2 linked regions of the Anolis sagrei genome follow. The protein of the gene in region 1 interacts with the protein of each later gene in a pairwise test. Links are inferred from orthologs where the notes say so. Each region holds a gene or a part of one and is shown in the gene's direction. Other genes may lie near its edges.

What was found.
Region 2: the proteins of LRP6 (region 1) and glycogen synthase kinase-3 beta-like interact in binary tests that used the Homo sapiens proteins (3 or more experiments, as listed by UniProt). The link is inferred for Anolis sagrei from reciprocal best matches to the Homo sapiens genes LRP6 and GSK3A.

Annotation. Positions count from the first base shown.
Region 1 is NC_090025.1:101,786,246-101,793,348, reverse strand, and holds the start of LRP6 (low-density lipoprotein receptor-related protein 6), read left to right. Parts: upstream 1-4,074; 5' UTR 4,075-4,906; coding exon 4,907-4,961; intron 4,962-7,103. UniProt on the Homo sapiens protein: Component of the Wnt-Fzd-LRP5-LRP6 complex that triggers beta-catenin signaling through inducing aggregation of receptor-ligand complexes into ribosome-sized signalosomes.
Region 2 is NC_090034.1:109,126,291-109,133,881, forward strand, and holds the start of glycogen synthase kinase-3 beta-like, read left to right. Parts: upstream 1-4,346; 5' UTR 4,347-4,534; coding exon 4,535-4,796; intron 4,797-7,465; coding exon 7,466-7,591. UniProt on the Homo sapiens protein: Constitutively active protein kinase that acts as a negative regulator in the hormonal control of glucose homeostasis, Wnt signaling and regulation of transcription factors and microtubules, by phosphorylating and inactivating glycogen synthase (GYS1 or GYS2), CTNNB1/beta-catenin, APC and AXIN1.

The DNA of each region.
Region 1 (7,103 bases):
CTAATGTGTGCCGGGAGAGTGTTCCACAGCCGGGGGGCCACCACCGAGAAGGCCCTCTCCCTCGTCCCCGCCAGCCGTGCCTGTGATGCAGGCGGGATCGAGAGAAGGGCCTCCCGAGACGATCTCAAGGTCCTCGTGGGCTCGTAGGCCAAGATGCGGTCAGAAAGGTATTTTGGGCCGGAACCGTTTAGGGCTTTGTAGGCCAAAACCAGCACCTTGAATTGGGTCCGGTAGCAAATCGGCAGCCAGTGGAGCTGGGACAACAAGGGCGTTGTGTGCTCCCTGCCACCCGCTCCAGTTAGTAACATGGCTGCCGCGCGCTGAACCAGCTGAAGCTTCCGGGCCGTCTTCAAGGGCAGCCCCACGTAGAGAGCGTTGCAGTAATCCAGGCGGGATGTGACAAGAGCGTGTACCACCGTGGCCAAGTCAGACTTCCCGAGATACGGGCGCAGCTTTATCACCTTTTCATCCATGCCTCAGCACTATTCCAATTTTTACATGTGGCCTTCCCACAGTTTTAACTGTATGTTGTTTAATTGATGTTAAATGATTATTGTTTATGTTTTATTTTGATTGCTTGTATTGTTGTGATTATTGCCTGTATTGTTGTGTTTGGGCTCGGCCTCATGTAAGCCGCACCGAGTCCCTTGGGGAGATGGTAGCGGGGTACAAATAAAGTGTTATTATTATTATTATTTTATTATTATTAAGAAGAAAGCGCAAAAGCTGGGTTGTAGCTAAACATAAAAAAACCCCAAGATTATGGCAACAAGAATGAGTGACAACTGGAAAATAGAGGGAGAAAATGTGGAGGCCGTGACAGACTTTGTATTTCGAGGTGCAAAGATTACTGCAGATGCAGACTGTGGCCAGGAAATCAGGAGACGCTCCCTTCTTGGGAGGAGAGCAATGTCCAATCTCGATAAAATAGTAAAGAGGAGAGACATCACACTGGCAACAAAGATCCGCCTAGTCAAAGCCATGGTATTCCCTGTAGTAACCTACGGATGTGAGAGCTGGACCTTAGGGAAGGCTGAGTGAAGGAAGATAGACGCTTTTGAACTGTGGTGTTGGAGGAAAGTTCTGAGAGTGCCTTGGACAGCGAGAAGATCCAACCAGTCCATCCTCCAGGAAATAAAGCCCAACTGCTCATTGGAGGGAAGGATACTAGAGACAAAGTTGAAGTTCTTTGGTCACATCATGAGGAGACAGCAAAGCCTAGAGAAGACAATGATGCTGGGGAAAATGGAAGGCAAAAGGAAGAGGGGCCGACCAAGGGCAAGATGGATGGATGGCATCCTTGAAGTGACTGGACTGACCTTGAAGGAGCTGGGGGTGGTGACGGCCAACAGGGAGCTCTGGCATGGGCTGGTCCATGAGGTCACAAAGAGTTGGAGACAACTGAACGAATGAACAACAATGACAGTGTGAATAAATTGTCAATATTTGCTTGAGATAGTGCTTGTAGTTCTGGAGGAACTCTTAATTTTTTGCGTCTCATAGACTTAGCATGGGGATTTGGTTAACCATTTAAACTTCATGAGTAAACTAGGTTTTTTTTAACCTGAAAAATTTGGGGGTGGGTGGGTGGGGGTTGAACCTGTACCCCCCTCCCCCGGCTACAGGCCTGGTCATATCACTAGTCAAATTAATCAATCAATAAATTATTATTATTATTATTATTATTATTATTATTATTAGTTCAAAGCCTCAGACAGGCCTCATATTCCAGGAGCTGATCCCAGGTTTTCTGCTCTAAACTGGGTTATAAGAGTCCACACTGTCTGATTTTTTTTTTGTTGTGTAAGGAGTGACTTGAGAAACTGCAAGTTGCTTCTGGTGTGAGAGAATTGGCCGTCTGCAAGGATGTTGCCCAGGGGACGCCCGGATGATTTGATGTGTTTATCATCCTTGTGGAAGGCTTCTCTCATGTCCCCGCATGAGGAGCTGGAGCTGATAGAGGGAGTTCATCCGCCTCTCCCTGGATTCGAACCTGCGACCTGTCGGTCTTCAGTCCTACTGGCACAGGGCTTTAACTCACTGCGCCACCGGGGACTGCTACACTGTCTGATATTTTTATTTATCGTGTCATCAGCAACCATACCATTGTATTACATTTCTAACAGAACAAAACAAACACACAGATTAAAAAAAACACACAGACTTTGTAAACTTGGTAGTTGATTAAATGTCCTTTGACCAGTATCTGGCCACTTGGAGTGCCTCTGGTGTTGCCGCAAGAAGGTCCTCCATGGTGCATGTGGCAGGGCTCAGGGTGCATTGCAGTAGGTGGTCTGTGGTTTGCTCTTTTCTGCACTCGCATGCCGTGGATTCCACTTTGTAGCCCCATTTCTTAAGATTGGCTCTGCACCTCGTGGTGCCAGAGCGCAGTCTGTTCAGCGCCTTCCAAGTCGCCCACTCCTCTGTGTGCCCAGGGGGGAGTCTCTCATTTGGTATCAGCGATTGGTTGAGGTTCTGGGTTTGAGCCTGCCACTTTTGGACTCTCGCTTGCTGAGGTGTTCCGGCGAGTGTCTCTGTAGATCTTAGAAAACTATTTCTAGATTTAAGTCATTGATGTGCTGCCTGATACCCAAACAGGGGATGAACTGGAGATGTCTCTGCCTTGGTCCTTTCACTATTGGCTGCTACTTCCCGGTGGATGTCAGGTGGTGCAATACCGGCTAAGCAGTGTAATTTCTCCAGTGGTGTAGGGCGCAGACACCCTGTGATAATGCGGCATGTTTCATTAAGAGCCACATCCACTGTTTTAGTGTAGTGAGATGTGTTCCACACTGGGAATGCATACTCAGCAGCCAGAGATGGCCCTAGGTAATTTTCAACGGTAAGCAAACAGTATTTTGGCACCCCCCTCCCCAACCAATCATTGATATATATTTTCCGTTTGTCATGGGAATTGTGTATGCCATATTTGGTTCAATTCCATCATTGGTGGAGTTCAGAATGCTCTTTGATTGTAGGTGAACTATACATCCCAGTAACTACACTTGCCGCATTTGCTCCCTTGCCTGGCCTGCTTTGGGTCCAGAGGCGTGCCTGAAGACCCGTCGTGTGCACCAAAAGTCACCTCTTCTCCTGACTTTCTCCTCAGCCATTGGGACCAAGAGAGAGAGAGAGAGAGAGAGAGAGGTGGAGAATGCCACCTTTCCTGAAGGTAGGAGCAAAAACAAAGGAGGGAGCAGAGGTGGGAGATACCTCCAGCCGGAGGGGCTCTCTCTCTCTCTCTCTCGGTCCCAATGGCTGAAGAGAAAGTCAGGAGAAGAGGCAACTTTTGGTGTGCACGCTGGGGTCTTCAGACATGCCTCCGGACCCGAAGCAGGCCAGGTGCGGCGGCTCCGCCCCTTGGCCTACCCGAAGATTGGGGAGAGGAGAGGAGACGGGTGGAGTGCCGGGGGATTGGGAAAGGGAGCCGGTCATGGGGAAGGGAACGAACGCGGAGAATGATTGAGCGCCGGCTCTGCTCACGCACCCGGTGGCCGGGTGGAGCAGGAACGAGAGGGGCTAGGCGAGGCTCAAGGGCCTGGCCCCTTTGGGAAGAGGATTGCCCGGCAGCGAAGCAAGAAAGCCGAGGCTCCCCCCGGACTGCTAGGGCTGTTGTGAGCTGAGGGGGTGCTCCTCAAGTGGCAGTCGAGGGGCATTTACAGAGGCGCCTCTGCGCCCCTGGCAAAAAAAAGTGTTCTGCGACCGCTTACTTCGCGTAATGGACGAGCCGCCCCTGTCAGCAGCAGAGTAGCATAGCGTAAGGGCAGATGTCTTCACTGTGTCTGGTTGTGATCCCCAGGTTGTGCCAGTCAGCTTTCCTATGATGTTGTTTCTAGCGCCCACTTTTTGCTTCATGATAATCTGAGGCAAACAGGAAACCTAGAATCAGATGCTTGAATATAGGGCCTGTCTGGAAGGACCCAAGTTGTGTGAGGTAACCACCCGCTGCCAAGGCCTGCCCGCCTATCTCCACCACAGCCCGGCCAATGCTCTCCTGGCGAGTGCGCGAGGAAAAGGCCCGCCTCCCTCCCTCTGTCCCTCCCTCCCTCCCTCCCTGGGCGCTCCTGGCGGAGGGATCCTCGTCGTCCTGCCTCCTGGAGCCGCGCGTCGTTCACCTGGGCGGCGCGGCGGATGTGTCCCAGCCTCCTCGCCTCCCCCTCCCCCTCCTCTTTTGTGCTGCTGGTTCTGCGGCTCTCGCGGTGTCCCTGGAAGTAGTTCCGACACTCCCTTCCCAGGTCCAGGGTGCTACGCTGCCGGAGCCTCATCACTTTGTGTGATTATTTTATCCATTTTCCTCAAGCCGAGAGACGTCAAGAAGTCCCTGAGGAATGCGGCAGGGCTAGCGGATTGCCAGGAGGACTGAAGCGGCTGAGAGAAAGCAGGCCGGAGAAAGAAAGGGCCCGGGCGAGCAAAGGCCGACGTGAATGCCTTTGCCGTAGGAGCTGGAGGAGGAAAGAAGGAAGGGAGATTGTGCCTTCGGAAAACCCAGGCGAGGCTGCAGGCATGCGTAGTTCCTGCGCGCGGCCTCCCTCCCGGGCTTCCAAAGGGAAGGGGGATCGAGGCTGCCTGGACTGAGGGAGGCCGCGGCGCGCGACGGAGTGAGTGCGCGAGCGAGTGCGCGAGGGAGGCCTCCTTTGGCGCGAGGCGGGGGCCATGGGGGCGCGCGCCTGCCCTCCCGCCGCCCCTTCCCCGGCCGCCGAGTAGTGTTTGTTCCGGGAAGAGAAGACAGACAAAGGCGGGAGGGGAAGACCCTTCCCCGGCTGAGGCCTCTCCAAGCAATTGTTTCGGCGCCGCTCCGTTTCTGCCCCTCCGAAAGCATGAGAGGGCGGCCGAGGAGGTGTCGCTCTCCTCCTCCTCCCCCTCCGCCACCTTCGCCTCCCCGCCGGTGAGAGCCAGAGGAGGGAAGATGGGCGCCGTGCTGAGGAGCCTCCTCGTCTGCGGTTTGTGTTCCCTGGCGAGAGGTGAGAGCCAAGGAGGGAGGCGGGCGGGCAGGCAGGCAGGCCGAAAGTTGGGCCTTGTGGGGAATCAAGGCGGCTCTCCTCCCTAGGAGTTGTGTGTGTCTACTCAAGGCAGGGACACCTCTGAGGGGCGAGAGGGAAAGGCCTGGCTGCTGGAAGGGGGCGGGGATCCTGCCTTCATCCGTGGATATGTGTTGGTTCTGGGCCTTTCTCTCAGGCCCCCCTCTACACTGGCCTTCAGACTCAGGGCCCTTCCACACACAGCCCTATATCCCAGAATATCATGGCTGAAAATCCCACATGACCTGAGTGTGGACTCAGGGCCCTTCCACACAGCCATAGAACCCAGAATATCGAGGCAGGAAATCCCACAAAGTGTGGATTCAGGGCCCTTCCACACAGCCACAGAACCCATAATATCAAGGCAGAATATCGCACATTACCTGAGTGTGGACTCAGGGTCCTTCCACACAGCCATAGAACCCTGAATATCAAGGCAGGAAATCCCACAGTGTCTGAGTGTGGACTCAAGGTCCTTCCACACAACCACAGAACCCAGAATATCAAGGCAGAAAATCCCAAATTATCTGAGTGTGGATTCAGGGCCCTTCCACACAACCATAGAACCCAGAATATCAAGGTAGGAAATCCCACATTATCTGAGTGTGGACTCCAGGCCCTTCCACACAACCACAGAACCCAGATTATCAAGGCAGAAAATCCCGCATTATCTGAGTGTGGACTCAGATAACCCAATTAAAAACAGATATTGTGGGATTTTCTGCCTTGATCTTCTGGGATATAGGGTTTGTGGAAGAGCGCTGTCATTGTGGACTCATAATCCAGTTTAAAGCAGAAAACCTGGGATCATATCCTGAGATATAAAGCCTATCTGGAAGGGCTCTGGGTTATTTGGCTGTGTAGAATGGCCCTACACTGCAATATTTGATTTGAACTGCATTATATGGCAGTGTAGAAGAGGCCTTGCTAAATAATTCTCCATTTCCTGAATTTGAGACCAAGCCACACTAGAATTCACACAAATAACTATCGTTTAGATGAGACTGAAAGTTGTATATAAACAAATAAGCAAATGCTTGGTTGTGGGTGTGCGGATTGAATTGCATGGGGACTGAGCTCCACATAATCTCTCCCTAATTTCGGGGTCCTTCCACACAGCCATTTAACCCAGAATATCAAGAGAGATACTCCACAGTGGCTCCTTCCACACAGCTCTATAAAATCCCACATTGTCTGCTTTGAACTGGATTATATGGCAGTCTTGACTCAGATAATCCAGTTCAAAGCAGATATTGTGGATTATATGACTTGATATTCTGTGTTATGTGGCTTTGTGGAAAGTCCCAATGTCTGCTTTGAACTGGGTGCCCTTCCAGACAGGCCCTATATCCCAGGATCTGATTCCAGATTTTCTGTTTATCCCAGATTATTTGGCAGTGCAGAAAAAGCAGAAAACCTGGGATCAGATCCTGGGATATTGGGGTTGTCTGGAAGGGATCTGGGTTATCTGAGTCCACAATGCCATATAATCCAGTTCAATGTGTATTTTATACAGCTGTGTGAAAGGGGCCTCAGTTGTAATTTTAAGGCCCTTTCTACACTGCCATGTAATCCAGATTATCAAATCAGATAATCCACATTATCTAGATTATATGATTCTACGCTGCCATATATATAATCAGTTCAAAGCAGATAATCTGGATTTTATATGGCAGGGTAGAAGGGGGCTAAGTGTGAGAACATTTAAGGTCCTTCCACACAGCCCTATATCCCAGAATATCAGAAAATCCCACAATATCTGCTTTGAACTGGGCTATCTGAGTCCACACTCAGATGATGTGGGATTTTCTGCCTTAATATTCTGGGATATAGGGCTGTGTGGAAGGGCCCAAAGCAACAGTTGGAAAAAGTTAATTTAGTTAGATCCCACTCTGAAGTGTATCTATGTTAGAACATATGTTCTAACTAATAAGTAAATACATGTAGAACCTAACCTTGTTGATTAAATATACCCAAAGCTATTTCTGAGGGCCCTTCCACACAGCTCTATAACCTAGAATATCAAGGCAGAAAATCCCACAATATCTCCTTTGAACTGGGTTATCTGAGTCCACACTGTCATGT
Region 2 (7,591 bases), on another chromosome or scaffold:
TCGTCCATCTGTGACGCTGATGAAGCACTTCCGCATTCCCCGCATGTTTCCCCGCTGGAATGCTTTGCTCTGCTTTGCTTTATGGCCTCATAAATCAGTTAATTTAGCCTCCCCACACTTTTAAGGTGGTACCTTATTTTCCTACTTGACAGATGCAACTGTCTTTCAGGTTGCAAAGGTCGACAACAGGCTACACACAATTGGTTGGAAACCCACTCCAACCCGGGCTGGCTTCGAACTCATGACCTTTTGGTCAGAGTGATCTTAATGCAGCTCTGACACTCAGCCAGCTGCACCACAATCCCAGTCTTCATATGTTGATGCCTTCATATATGCTTTTCTTAGCTGTGTTTTACAGAGGAATGGGACTGAGTTGCACCCGCCTCCAGCCGAAAGGGGAGGACGGGAATACATTATCATAACTTTAAGATCGTCCGGGGAGGCCCTTCTCTCGATCCCGCCTGCATCACAAACAGGGACGAGAGACAGGGCCTTCTCAGTGGTGGCCCCTCGGATATGGAACGCCCTTCCCGAGGACATTAGATCGGCCCCCTTAACATTTTGGAAAAAAGTCAAGACTTGGTTGTTTGAATAAGCATTTGAAAATGTAAGGTAAATGACATAGGAATTGGAACAACCGGATGATGAGATTGGACAAATAGGAGACGTAATTGATGTATGTTTTTTCTGTAAATATTTTTTATTATTTTATCATGGTTTAATACATTTGTTATACATTGTTTTACAGCAGATACATATTAATATACATGGAGGTCTCTTCCAACTCTAGGATTCTAGAAGGCATCTGCTACTCTGCTGCTGAGTACGCATACCAAGAGGGGAACACATATCACCTCGCTAAAACAGTGGATGTGGCTCTTTCTCATGATCTCCAGCTCATGCCATACAACTGACACAAACCACATGGCCATGGGACATTGGGCCAAAAGGAAATGCAGGACACTCAATTGCCCAAAGGCAAACTCCAGGTATTCTTGAGAGACACGGATTATCTGGATCCGGCACAGTCTGGCTTTAGGCCGGGGCATGGTACCGAGACAGCCTTGGTCGCCTTAGTGGATGATCTTCGCCGGGAGCTCGACAGGGGGAGTGTGTCCCTGTTAGTTCTGCTGGACCTCTCAGCGGCCTTCGATACCGTCGACCACGGTATCCTTCTGGGGCGTCTTGCGGAAATGGGTCTCGGAGGTACTGTTTTGCAGTGACTCCGGTCATTTCTGGAGGGTCGTTCCCAGAAGGTGTTATTGGGGGACACCTGTTCATCCCCACAACCATTGTCTTGTGGGGTTCCACAGGGCTCTATATTATCCCCCATGCTGTTTAACATCTACATGAAGCCGCTGGGAGAGATCATCCGGAGTTTCGGGGTGCGGTGTCACCTGTACGCGGATGATGTCCAACTCTGTCACTCCTTCCCACCTGCTACTAAGGAGGCTGTCGAGGTCCTGAACCGGTGCCTGGCCGCTGTGACGGTCTGGATGAGGGCGAACAAACTGAAACTAAATCCAGACAAGACAGAGGTACTCCTGGTCAGGCGAAAGGCCGAACAGGGTATAGGGTTACAACCTGTGTTGGACGGGGTTACACTCCCGCTGAAGATGCAGGTTCGCAGCTTGGGTGTGACCCTGGATTCATCGCTGAGCCTGGAGCTAATACTAATACTTCCTTCCTTGTATTGTCGAAGGCTTTCATGGCTGGAATCACTAGGTTCTTGTAGGTTTTTTCAGGCTGTATGGCCATGGTCTAGAGGCATTCTCTCCTGACGTTTCGCCTGCATCTATGGCAAGCATCCTCAGAGGGAGTGAGGTCTGTTGGAAATAGGACAATGAGTTTATATATCTGTGGAATGGCTGGGGTGGGGCAAAGAGCTCTTCTCTGCTGGAGCTAGGTGTGAATGTTTCAGCTGACCACCTTCATTAGCATTTGAAGGCCTGGCTGAGCCTGGGGGAATCTTTTGTTGAGAGGTGTTAAGATGTGCCTGGTTGTTTCCTCTCTGTTGTTTTGCTGTTGCAATTTTAGAGTTTTTTAATACTGGTAGCCAGATTTTGTTCATTGAACAAAACAACAGCAAAATAACAGAGAGGAAACAAACAAGGACATCTAACCACCTCTCAACAAAAGATTGCTCCAGGCACTGCCAGGAAATCAAATGCTGATCAAGGTGGTCAGTTGAAACATTCACACCTAGCTGCAGCAGAGAAGAGCTCTTTGCCCCACCCCAGCCATTCCACAGATATATAAACCCATTTTCCTACTTCCAACAGACCTCACAAGCTCTGAGGATGCTTGCCATAGATGCAGGCGAAACATCAGGAGAGAATGCCTCTAGAACATGGCCATACAGCCCGGAAAAACCCACAAGAACCCAGTTATTCCGGCCACGAAAGCCTTTGACAATACAGATTCAACCTTCTTCTGTTTTTTGTAAACAGTGGTGATTGTGAGAGTGGTCCAGCATGTAATCACCTCTCAACAAAAGATTGCCCCAGGCACTGCCAGGTGGTCAGTTGAAATATTCCCACCTAGCTTCAGCAGACAAGAGTCCTTTGTCCCATCCTGGTCTTTCCACAGATATATAAACCCAATTTTCCTATTTCCAAGAGACCTCACTAACTTTGAGGAGGTTTGCCATTGATGCAGGCGAAACGTCAGGAGAGAATGCCTCTAGAACATGGCCCTATAGCCCGGAAAAAAGTACAACAACTCAAGGACATCTAATCACCTCTCAACAAAAGATTCCCCCAGACACTTCCAAGCCATCAAATTGTAATCAAGGTGGTCAGTTGAAACATTCACCCCTAGCTCCAGCAGACAAGAGTCTTTTGTCCCACCCTGGTCATTCCACAGATATATAAACCCATTGTCCTATTTCCAACAGACCTCACAACCTCTGAGGATGCTTGCCATAGATGCAGGCGAAACGTCAGGAGAGAATGCCTCTAGAACATGGCCAAATAGCCCGAAAAAACCCACAAGAACCTACTTATTATTGATTGATTGATTGATTGATTGATTTACTTCCCTTGTATACTGCTCTTCTCAGCCCTCAGGCGACTCAGAGCGGTTAACAACGAATTCAGCAGCACAAAACAGATCATTACTCAATTAAGACAGCAATATCAATTAATTCACATCAAAACATCAATACAACAATACAACAAAATAGCAATCCATCACGTCTCATCAGTAGAATCAGCATCCACTCTCATTGTCCATTAATCCATATTCCAATAGGGATACTAATAGGTTCTTGTAGGTTTTTCCGGGCTATATGGCCATGTTCTGGAGGCAATTTTTCTCCTGACGTTTCGCCTGCATCTATGGCAAGCATCCCCAGAGGTAGTGAGGTCTGTTGGAAGTAGGAAAATGGGTTTATATATCGGTGGAATGACCAGGGTGGGGCAAAGGACTCTTGTCTGCTGGGGCTAGGTGTGAATGTTTCAGCTGACCACCTTCATTAGCATTTGAAGGCCTGGCTGAGCCTGGGAAAATCTTTTGTTGAGAGGTGTTAAGATGTACCTGGTTGTTTCCTCTCTGCTATTTTGCAACATTCACACCTAGCTCCAGCAGAGAAGAGCTCTTTGCCCCACCCCAGCCATTCCACAGATATATAAACCAATTTTCTTACTTCCAACAGACCTCACTACCTCTGAGGATGCTTGCCATAGATGCAGGCGAAACGTCAGGAGAGAGTGCCTCTAGAACATGGCCATACAGCCCGAAAAAACCCACAAGAACCTAGTGATTCCAGCCATGAAAGCCTTCGGCAATACAGGGATACTAATACTTCCTTCCTGCCTGCCTTTGGGCCCGGAGCATCCAAGAGGCTGATGGGAGCGGAGTCTCCTCCCTCTCTCTCCCGCGGGACTACACCTCCCAGCAGCCCTTTCGGGGGGGGGGGCGTCCCAACCCTCACACTTCCTGCCGCGAAGCACGACGGGAGACGTAGTTTCCGCCGCCGGGTCACGAGACTCTTTCCTCCTCCTGCCTCCTGCTGCTAAGGCTGGGCGCGGGGCATGCCGGGAGCAGCAGAGCAGGGCCCGCGGCCTCCCGTCGTGCCCCGCGGCGCCCAGGCCGCAGCCCGAGCTCGCTTGCCTTCCGCCCGGGAGGGCCCTCCGCCCACACCGCCGACATGGAGCAGCGCCGAGGCGGAGCGGGAGGAACAGGGGGAGAAACAGGAGGGGGGCCCGCCCGCGCCCCTGAAGGTAGGTCGGTCTGTCAGTGTGGGAGTCGTTGCCGCGCGGCGCAGTCTGGGAAGTGTAGTCGTGCCGGGCTCGGGGGAACTCATTTCGCTCCCGTCGTGCTTTGCGGCGCCTCGGGAGGGCGGCGCGGCGCCTTCTGGGAAGCGGAGTCCGGCTGCCGGCACTGGGGCGAGAGAGTGGAGGGGACTCCATTTCCCGTGGGGCCTCGCGGCGGTGGCGGCGGCGGTGGTGGTGGTGGTGGCGACGGCCTCTCTCTCTAGATAGGGAGCCAGGCTTCTCCTCCTCCTCCTCCTTCTCCGCGTCCCGGCCTCGCCATGAGCAGCGGCAGCGCGGGCGGCTCCTCCTCGCGGCCTAGAACCAGCTCCTTCGCCGACCCCTCCAACGCGCCCCCCGCCGCCGCCGTCGCCGCCCCCAACACCTCCGCCGCCCCCTCCTCCTCCGCCGCCTCGGCCCCCCCTCCCCCGCTGCCGCCCCCCGCAGGGAGCAAGGCCGCCGGGCCCGGGCCTGGAGGAGGGGGCGGAGGAGGGGGAGGGAGCTTGTCGTCGGGGGGCTCCTTCCCGGGACTCAAGCTCGGAAGTGAGTCTGCGCGGAGAGGGGGAAAGGGGGTCTCCAGGGTCGCACCCCCCTCCCTTCACTGTTCTGTCTCTATTCCTATTATGATGAGGATTATTATGATAGATACCTGGGCCTGGGTCTCTCGCGGTGACGTCACGGGGAGGTCATTGGACTGGGGAAGGGGTCTTGAGAATCCGGGTTCAGGTTAGGGGTTAGGGGGGTGGCCCACTAAGTAAGGGAAAGGGAGGAGGAGGATCTGGTTGCCTGGCAACCGCAGACGGGAGGGGCGTGGCCCAAGTGGGGGCACGGGTGGGTGGGGGCAAAGGTGAGCTGAGCAAGGCATCTCAGGGCAGACCTTGGCCAAGACCCCCCCACACACACCGAGGGGCACCCCAGTGGTCAAGGGAGTGGAGCACACAGGCTCCTCCTGGATGGCCATCTGTTGGGGGTGCTTTGAATGGGGGCTGGGGGTAGGGGTAGGGGTGGGTGGGGGTAAAGGTGAGCAAGGCATCTCAGTGCAGACCTAGGTCAAGACCCCCCCCCCCCCCACACACACACACACACCGAGGGGCACCCCAGTGGTCAAGGGAGTGGAGCACACAGGCTGCTCCTGGATGGCCATCTGTTGGGGGTGCTTTGAATGGGGGGTGGGGGTAGGGGTGGGTGGGGTCAAAGGTCAGCAGGACATCTCAGTGCAGACCTAGGCCAAGACCCCCCCCCCCAGACACCTCAGAGAAGCACCTCAGAGAAGCACCCCCCACACACACACCTCAGAGGGACAGTGGTCAAGGGAGTGGAGCACACAGGCTCCTCCTGGGTGGCCATCTGTTGGGGGTGCTTTGAATGGGGGGGTGGGGGTAGGAGTGGAGGGGGGTAAAGGTGAGCAAGGCATCTCAGGGCAGACCTAGGCCAAGACACCCCCCCCCCCCCCCCACACACACACACACGCACCTCAGAGGGACAGTGTTCACGGGAGTGGGTCACACAGGCTCCTCCTGGATGGCCATCTGTTGGGTGTGCTTTGAATGCAATTTTCAAAGGTGAGGAGGGCATCTCAGGGCAGACCTAGGCCAAGACCCCCCCACACACACCGAGGGACACCCCAGTGGTCAAGGGAGCAGGGCACACGGGCTCCCACTGGATGGCCATCTGTTGGGGGTGCTCTGAATGGGGGGTGGGGGTGGGGGTGGGTGGGGGCAAAGGTGAGCAAGGCATCTTGGTGCAGACCTAGGCCAAGAACCCCCCCCCCCCCCCCCACACACACAGATACCTCAGAGGGAGGTGACGAGGGGGCAGCCCAGGTGGGGGTGGGTGGGGGCAAAGGTGAGCAGGACATCTCAGTGCAGCCCCCCCCCCCCCCCCACACAGACACCTCAGAGAAGCACCCCAGTGGTCAAGGGGGCAGCCTAGGTGGGGGCGGGTTGGGGCAAAGGTGAGCAGCCCTAGGCCAAGACTCCCCCCCCCCCGACACCTCAGAGAAGCACCCCAGTGGTCAAGAGAGCGGGACACACAGGCTCCTCCTGGATGGTCATCTGTTGGAGGTGCTTTGAATGCCATTTTCACACGTGGGGGTAGGGGTGGGTGGGGGCAAAGGTGAGCAGGGCATCTCAGTACAGCCCTAGGCCAAGACCCTTCTCCACCACACACACACCTCAGAGCTCAGAGGGAGGTGCCGAGGGGGCAGCCCAGGTGGGGGTGGGTGGGGGCAAAGGTGAGCAAGGCATCTCAGGGCAGCCCTAGGTCAAGACCCCCCCCCCCACAGACACCTCAGAGAAGCACCCCAGTGGTCAAGGGAGTGGGTCACACGGGCTCCTCCTGGATGACCATCTATTTGGGGTGCTTTGAATGCCATTTTCAAAAGTGAGCAAGGCATCTCAGTGCAGCCCTAGGTCAAGACCCCCCCTCCACACACACACACACACCTCAGAGGGAGGTGCTGAGGGGCACCCCAGTGGTCAAGGGAGTGGGGCACACGGGCTCCCACTGGATGGCCATCTGTTGGGAGTGCTTTGAATGCCATTTTCAAAGGTAAGCAGGGCATCTTGGTGCCCCCCTCCTTGAGTGGGAAGTTCAGTCCTAGGCCGAGCCTCAGAGGGAGATGCCGAGGGTCACTCTCTCCTCCTGAGGGGCAGCAAGGGTGGTGGTCAAGGGGCAAAGCAGGAGGGACGCAAGCCCTCCTCCAGAGACCCCGGTCTAACCCTGGAGAGAACGGGCCAGGCAAGGCAAGGGGGCCGAGGCCAGGCCCCTGACACTCCTCTTCCTTCCTTCCTTCCTTCCTTCCTTCCTTCCTTCCTTCCTTCCTCCTTGCATTATTGATAATGTTGTGTACTTTATTGTTTATGTTTTTAATTGCTTGTATTATTATTATTGCTTGTATTGTTGTGTTTGGGCTCGGCCTCTTGTAAGCCGTACCGAGTCCCTTGGGGAAATGGTGGTAGCGGGGTACAAATAAAGTGTTGTTGTTATTATTATTATTATTGTTGTTGTTGTTGTGTTTGGGCTCGGCCTCATGTAAGCCGTACCGAGTCCCTTGGGGAAATGGTGGTAGCGGGGTACAAATAACGTGTTGTTATTATTGTTGTTGTTGTTGTGTTTGGGCTCGGCCTCATGTAAGCCGCACTGAGTCTCTTGGGGAGATGGTGGTAGCGGGGTACAAACAAAGTGTTATTATATTATTATTATTATTGCAGGGGATAGCGGGAAGGTGACCACGGTGGTGGCCACGCCGGGCCAAGGGCCGGACCGCCCGCAGGAGGTCTCCTACTCGGACATCAAGGTCATCGGCAACGGCTCCTTCGGAGTGGTGTACCAGGCCC